2 linked regions of the Danio rerio genome follow. The protein of the gene in region 1 purifies or fractionates together with the protein of each later gene. This does not show direct contact. Links are inferred from orthologs where the notes say so. Each region holds a gene or a part of one and is shown on either strand. Other genes may lie near its edges.

What was found.
Region 2: the proteins of retreg1 (region 1) and map1lc3a purify together in Homo sapiens (affinity purification with western blotting; 3 studies listed by BioGRID and IntAct, with this or other methods). This does not show direct contact. The link is inferred for Danio rerio from reciprocal best matches to the Homo sapiens genes RETREG1 and MAP1LC3A.

Annotation. Positions count from the first base shown.
Region 1 is NC_133177.1:34,753,054-34,756,885, forward strand, and holds part of retreg1 (reticulophagy regulator 1), read right to left. Parts: intron 3,481-3,832; coding exon 3,354-3,480; intron 2,484-3,353; coding exon 2,399-2,483; intron 1,964-2,398; coding exon 1,841-1,963; intron 708-1,840; coding exon 637-707; intron 551-636; coding exon 427-550; intron 1-426. UniProt on the Homo sapiens protein: Endoplasmic reticulum (ER)-anchored autophagy regulator which mediates ER delivery into lysosomes through sequestration into autophagosomes.
Region 2 is NC_133186.1:28,685,960-28,690,479, reverse strand, and holds the start of map1lc3a (microtubule-associated proteins 1A/1B light chain 3A), read right to left. Parts: upstream 2,926-4,520; 5' UTR 2,845-2,925; coding exon 2,805-2,844; intron 1,157-2,804; coding exon 1,101-1,156; intron 1-1,100. Other genes in the region: dynlrb1 (dynein light chain roadblock-type 1), read right to left, coding at 3,727-3,770. UniProt on the Homo sapiens protein: Ubiquitin-like modifier involved in formation of autophagosomal vacuoles (autophagosomes). While LC3s are involved in elongation of the phagophore membrane, the GABARAP/GATE-16 subfamily is essential for a later stage in autophagosome maturation.

The sequences.
Region 1 (3,832 bases):
TTTACCCTCACACTACACATACTTCCTATTGGTATATTTATTAATTCATTCATTTATTCATTCATTTTCTTTTCGGGTTAGTCCCTTTATTAATCGCCACAGTGGAATGAACCGCCAACTTATCCAGCATGTTTTTACGCAGCGGATGCCCTTCCAATCACAACCCATTTCTGGGAAACATCCATCCACACACACTCATTCACACTCATACACTATGGACAATTTAGCCTACCCAATTCACCTTTACCGCATGTCTTCAGACTGTTGGGGAAACCTATGCGAACGAAGAAAAAACATGCAAACTGCACACAAACACAAACTGACCCAGCCGAGCCTCAAACCAGCGACCTTCTTGATGTGAGGTGACAGCACTACCTACTGTGCCACTGCGTCCTATATGTATATTACTAAGATTTTAAAAAATACCGTCAGAGTTCTCTGTTTGAGGTGTGTGTCCCTCTGAAAGGTTGAAAGTGCCGTTGTCTGTCCACGTGACTTCAGAGACCTCTGTGTCTGATAAGGACAGCTCTTTGCACACAGTGGAGTCCATCTGCAACAGATCGGTTCACAGGAAATGGACATATGAATATTATATCATTAAACCCTTTGTCTTCAGTTGTGTGACAGTGTGCTGACCTTGGGGAAAAGTGCAGACAGATCTGCTTCGATGCACTCTCTCTCGGTTTGTGACTGGAGTATCCTTTTCTCTGCAGAAAGAGAGTAAGTGTGAAGATGTTCATGTTTGCTATGTTCAAGTTGTTTGTAGTAGCACATTGTTAGCTTAGCAACATGTTAATGCTAAACCTAAGACTCAAAGTTGATTCATACATTTGAAGTAATGTATAGTGGGAAAAGATGCTCCCTATAGGTTTATAGGTTACCTTAGGAATTACTTTCCATGCAATATTATTTTAGTATTATTTATATACTTACTTAGTATATATAATAATACTTAAAGGGTTAGTTCACCCAAAACTGAAAATGACCTCATCGTTTACTGAAGATATTTTAAAGAATGCTGGTCGCTGAAACCCATCGACTAACATGGTGGGGGTGGGAGATGGAGGGGATACTATGAAAGTCATTTGGTCCCAGTAACCAGCATTCTTCAAAACATCTTAATTTGTGATTTGTTTTGAACAAGTGAAGGGTGAATAGCTGATGACAGAATTTAGTTTTTTAGGTGAACTGTCCCTTTAAAAATGTACTATTAATAATCAAGTAATTTGATTTAGCTTTATTTTAATCTCAGTTTTAGGTTTATTTTACTGCTTCAATCATTTTATTTCAGATACCTGTATAGTATTTTTGAATTTTGTCTTAAACCTAAATAAATGTATTATGTGTACCCTTATGTTATTCCAAGCTTACATGACTTACGTTCATCTTTTGTTCAAAACTATGTGAAAGTAATCCTGTTGCTACAGTGGATTAATTCCAATTTTATGAAGTGATGCAAAAGCTCTAACATGCATCAATAATTTAAAAATTAACTTTATATATAATAATATCTTTAATCCTTGCATTCTGGAAATGTAAAAAAATTGGCATTAATCATTTAGTAACAGAGTAACACAGACTACTATTATGGGTTTTTTTTCCCTAGTTTTAAAGCTTAAAACATTTGGGTGAATAGAGTATCAATGATTTATAGGGGTTTTAAGTACCAAAAGCTAAAAAGTTGAAAGCTTTCCAAGAACGTTAGGATTAGGAACAGAGTCTGTCCGGTGAGGCATTTGTTTTGGGCTACATAAATCAAAAACAGCACATCCAAGGGAGAAACTATATAAATTTAAAAATGTAAAGTCAATTTTGTATAGTGAGTGTATTTGGGATTTACCGTGATTCTCCTTTATTTTCTGAAAAAACTCGGCCACTCCAAAGTCCAGTTTCTGCAGAACTGGTTCCAACCACATCCCGAACTCATGTGACGACACCAAAGGCCAGAGAAAAATACCCAGCACTGCGGTAAACAGATGTGTAAACTATTAATGTAAGGCTCACACTTACGAACCTGCTGACTGCCAGGAAGAAAAAGAAACCAGAGACTGAGTGTGAATGTGAATGTCGTCACAGTGACATTACTAAGAATCCACTACCACATGACGAATGGGCTGTGCTGGAGGTAAATCCGGAGGGGGTTTGCTCTCCTTGGCCAGTAGCAGCATGGTTACATTCATTTTGGATGTATTTTGAATGTATTTTAAATGAATTCAACTCTGAAATCTGGACTTTACTAGAACTTTTATGTTAAGCGGCTTCGACACAATCTACATTGTAAAGGTGCTTTCTAATTAAACCTAAATTGAATTGAATTTGTAAAGAAATGTCAGTGAAAAAATAAGACAAAATAACTATTATTATCATTATATGTTTAGGATCTTTTTTTGGTACTTACCTAAAATGTATGAAATAACAACCCCTGGTACGTAACGTCCAAGTATTGCTAGAAAAGAGCACATACTGCAAACCAGCAGACAAAACTGCAAATGAGACACAAATTTAAAATGGCTCAGTTCACTGTAAATTAATCACTGTGTGAAATAATAAATACATGCAATGGGAAATACTAAACTTAAATGATTATAAACACAGCTGCTAAAAAGCCTACATTAAAATTACATGGCATACTTGTAATATTTCTCATTAAATTACTATATAAAACATGAACTCATTAACGGCCTCTAATTGAAATACTCATTGGAAAACTATGGAGTGCAACTGGGGGTTATTACAGGACACTTAAATGTTTATGACTTTGTCATATTTTTATTTTATTTAAAAATTATATTTTTATAAATTTTGATGAAGTTACACATAGGGTTCAACATTAAAACTATACAAATCTTTAAAATAATTAATAATGGTTAGAAATTATTTATAAAATTTAATAAAAAATAGAAATATACCATTAATTACTTTATTATGTTGTCCTTACATTTATTTGTCTTATTATTCTTTTATTTTTCATATTTGTATTTTCTTATTACACAATCATTTATGTGTTATTATTGTTTATGATTTGGTTTTGTGATTCATTTTTGGACTATGTTGCAATGTCTTTAAAATTAGCTTTTAATTGGTTGTATTTTTGAAAGCACATTGTACATTCATCTTGAAAATTTTGAATAAACACGACACAAAAAAAACATGAATTACTGCAAGAATTACACTGCAAAGTGATTACATGTAAAATAGTGAAGGCAAAATGATGATTACAAATAATTAAAAAATTGTAAAAGAAATGAGGACTTGTTAGGTATGTAGTTCTCCTTCTACAGTTTTAATACAATTTTTAAGTTGATGTAAAAAAGAAGACATGTTAGGAATCATCTACTCAAATCTATCCATACCTTGCCTGGATTCTGCTGTTTAAAAGAGGATGTCTCCTCAATGAACAACTTGAGACTCGTCCAGAAGTCTGTGAATGGAGATCCTGATGCAGACTTGCCCTCCTGGACAGAATCAATGATCTCCCAGCTACAGTTAAAAAGATCAATCGTTAGTCTGACCCTGTCAGAAAAATGTGTTCACTACACTTCTTTAACTATCACTTTAAACTCATGCACTGCCATATTGTAGTGTATTATATTAACCTTTTGGATGATTTGCCTGTGTTGTCAGTTAAACATGTTCAGCACATAACCAGTTCAGTAAATTACCAGAAATGAAACCACATTCAACAACCAAAATAACGCCTAAAAAATTTAGGTAGTGCATTAAAAAAATTATAAATCTATAATGCACACAAAATTTGAAAAGTTATTAATGAAACAGGTCAAATTGTATATTTTGTGGCTCATGCATGCATGGGGCATGAAACCACAGGGAA
Region 2 (4,520 bases), on another chromosome or scaffold:
TAATTTGATCATGACATTAAAATGTTCTTTTTAATCATTTTAGTGCAGTTTTAGTATGATCACCTATTCTTTTATACATTTTATTACAATAAAGCCAGCTGCTGCCATTGCATTTTTACATTATATGCTAAATGATTATAGATCAATATTTTCTAATCATTTAGCATATAATGTCAAAATGTTAAAGTAGAACATTAAAGTAGAAAGTTACTATGCTTTTTATGTACAGTGCTCAGCATATACGAGTACACCCCCCACAAATGTCTGATTTCAATTAATATTTTCTATAGGATACTGTACAATATTTTATTTGTGCATATACATTAGTTTATTCAGTACTGAAGCCATAGGAGCCTTAGGAACTTTTACAAAAAATATATACAATTTTGTTGAAATGTTGTAGTTTGTAATTTTTTTTTGCAATATTTTGCATTAATTTAAATATATTATCTTTTCATTTCTAAATATGTTCTGTGACTGAAATATTATTTTTAATAAAAATATCTGTTTAATTATCGGTTTTGATCAAATGCACCAATATATATTATCCATATGCACCGAGAAATGGGGAAAAAAATTTCGCCTCCAAAAATTTTCAAACTGGGGAGAGAACTGTATATAAAAATCACTTATACTGAATTTGATGCAGATGACAGAATGGAATGTCTTGTCTTTGAAATATATTTCCTAATATATTTCACTAAAGATAAAGATTACAATAAAAAATTAAGATTATTTCCTAATATATTTTGATATATTCATATAATGGTTTAGAGCTGTGGATACATAGAACAATGTATTTTAATATTACTTATTTTTATATTTCCAAGGTCTAGAAATCACACTTTAAAATGATTGATGCTTTGTTAAATAAATGCAGTATTTCTAACTGCTTTAGCTTCATCTTTTCTTTTTCAATAATTCTAAGTCACCCCAAGGCCCTCATAGAAGTTGAAGCCCATTGTTTTAGAGTAATAAATTTCAGGATCTTAAAAGAAATCCGGAGCTGACAGGTAAGTGACATCTTGAAAGCAATAAGGCTAAAGCAATAAGTCTAAATTCATTTATGACACTTGCATAAAACAAAACTAGTTTCTCACCGGAATTTTATTAGGATGCTGCTCTCGTATCTGCTGCACTTCCTTGCAACGATCAGCTGAAAAGACAAAAAACAAACAGAAATTTGGTACACTTCTGAATAATATACATTTTACAGTCCAAATTCAAAATACACAGTAAGTATATTTTCAAGACTCATTCCTGAAAACACTGTAATCACTGCATTAGCATTTGCTGAATTTGCTTATGTCAAACCTGTTTAGCAGAAACGCTCAATAAACATTCCTAAAAACTTGAGGAAAAATAATTGCGGATGTGTTGTTTGACATGCCCTACTCTACAAACCTATTCCACCATAATGTACAGTATAACAGACAAACAAACATTAATTTCTGTTAAAAGGTTTAATATCTTTTGTTATCACTCTGAAAGCTCAACAATGGTTAATCAACGCATTTGCATTATTTAAATAAACTACACGTTTTAATCTTGTAATTAAAATTTACAAGATTTGCATTTTTAGAGACATTGTCTGTTTTTATTCCTTTTCTATCATTTATTTCTCATCTGCTGATTATTTTATTAATTTATGTTAATATATTACATAGGCTATTTTCTATACATTTCTAAAATGCTTTGGCATTCGAGTTTGCTTTGAACTTGGAGTGAAAGAAGCAGATTTTACCTGTCAGAGGGTGCAAATGGCTCCTGAATAGTATAAAAGTAAGAGAAATAGTGGATTTTTTTCAACAGTCTTTTTACTTTAAGCCATTGAAAAGAAACTGTATAACAATGTCATAATAAATAAAATTGTAAAAATTAACTTATGTTTTGTTTGTCGAAAATCAATATCTATTTAAGTGATGATGTGGGTAACTTGTGTTTCATTCTGGCTACCACTGCAAGTATATTTCAAAGTAAAACTAAAAAAAATCCAGCTTGCTTATCAGGGTAAGCTTCCTAACTTGTGTGTCATTTTTACTGATGTCATGTCTGGGTCATCCGTGTCAATTGTATAATCCCAAAGGCTGGACAAATATAAGACTGTATGCAGATCATATTGACCCGGACTCTTACAGATGTGTTTGAAACAGCAAATCTATGTTGCACTTGTTATGTTTAGGAAGATTATGCAAGGGTTTTATGCTCCTCCCTCCCCACACCCTGTCCACAGTCTGGACTATGAGAAAGAGCTCATATTACAGCATCATATCAACAGCACGTGTACAGTCCATCCTTTCCTTCAATGTTATTGTCAAACAATAAATATTCTAAATATATAAATGCATCATTTACACCAAATGTAACAGAAAAACACTACTGTCAAAAAAAAGAAATGTTGATCTCACATTTTCACAAAGCTGGTAAACAACACATTTATCTAGCTACATATCTGTAACTATATGTCATTCATCTATGTTTCTAAGTAAAAAGTTAAATATAAGGTTATATACGTATTTACAAACACAACAGTTGTAAAAAAAATAAAGCTGATAAAATTTAAACACAAGGCCTATAAAAAAGCCCAAGCTAGCTTACTGTTTAGCAACTGACCTCTGTCGGTTTTTGTTAAAAACTGTCATTTAGACTTTAATATTTATTTCTATAATCGTCTCATAAGCATTTAGAGCTTTGTAGAGGAATGTAAACAGTGTGTCACGCAGTTGCTAGCAGGCTAGGGACAAAAACAAACCTGATAAACAAATACACTTCGGCTGACAAGGCACGAATAAAACTCATCTTACCGAAGCTCCGTCGTTGTTTGAAGGGTCTGTCGGATGGCATAACTGTGCTTGAATGTGGTTAAAAGTAGTTTAAAGGGTTTGCGTGTTATTATATGCTGAATTGTCGGTCGACTCGGCTTCTTTTCGAGCTCCTGACTCACTGTAAGCAAAACAGCTCGAGACAATATACTAAAGCTCGTGACGTCATCAGATTTAAAGAGACAGAGTCCTCTTTAAATGAATAGTTTAACCAAAACTAAACATTTACTCAGCATTTGCTTAACCTCAACTGGTTTTAGACTATTATGGGTTAATATTTCCTATTAAATGAAATAGAAGATATTTTGAAGAATGTTGGAATCCGGTAACCATTGATATCCATTGTAGTGGGGAAAAATGCAAAATTAAGTCAAGAGTTTTCAACATTTCTAAAAAATATTTTCTTCTTTTGCGATCAATTTAAATTCAAACAGGTTTTTGCAGCCATTTACAAGAATTATTTTAAACATGAAATCATTTTCAATTCTCTATATAAACCTAAACTAAATTTATATTATGGCAAAAAACAAAGCACCTTTTCCATTCAATATGAATACACACAGCCACAAAAAGTAATAAAAGGAAATACATTGTTGTTTTATTGTCCTGTTAGCATTCACAAACAAGTACAGTATGTAATAGTGTCATGTTTTTGCTTTTTGATGATGAACAGTTTGGAGTACTTGCAAAAATGAGAATGAGAAAACAATAAATTAAGTATATGGCAAACTATTGGAATGATAAGCAAGAGCAGTACAAACCATATTTTTATAATAGGATAAGAAGCAACTTCCTGTAATGTTATGTGGTTAATAGTACTATATAAACCTCACTGAAACATTAAATGAAACACTTTTGGCCTGTAATTACAGAAAAAAAAATACTTCAGAAGTACTTAGAAGGACTACTCTGTGGGATTTTGAATGACGATCAGGAAATAGTCCTTGTCTGTGGAGAAAACAGAGTAAATATATGATTAATTTCTGATCATTACAATTAGTTGATATCAGATTTATATAGCACATTACAGAATAATACAACACGCAAATTGGTTTTTGTAAAGATAGACTTGAATGTACAACATTATGGCATTTATAACAAAACATCAACCCCTACCCTAACTCTAAACCTGTAAACAGTAATGTAAAAATATTAATTATTGTTATACAGTGTCATTAAAATTGCTGCTATATTGATGTGCATATCGCACTTCTAGCCAGCAGTGTATCCTATTTCTATCTAGACTTTACCCTAAATCAGGGCTTTTCAAAATAAGGTCCGGGGGACCCATTCAGTGAAATGTTCAGAGAAAAGGCTTAAATAAAACATATATATCAATAAATAAAAGTAATTAATACTTTTGTATTAAAATAAGCCTAACATTGTATTAAGAATAAGGCTAATACATACAATTTAATAATAACTTGTTAAATTTGCAAAAATAAATAAATAGCAGCTGGATAATTATTTTAAAATAAAGTATTCATATAAGTAAGTGTTAAATAAACAAACACATAGCATTACAATGAGTAATATAAAAAAGAATAATATACTGCTAAAACAAAACTACATTTTTCCAAATAACATTTAAAATTTTATTAGTATGTAAATCGATCTAAATCAGGGTTGTTACTAGATCAGATATGGTTCAAGCCTTAAGGTAATGAAAATATATTACTTATTAAATTTTTATGATTT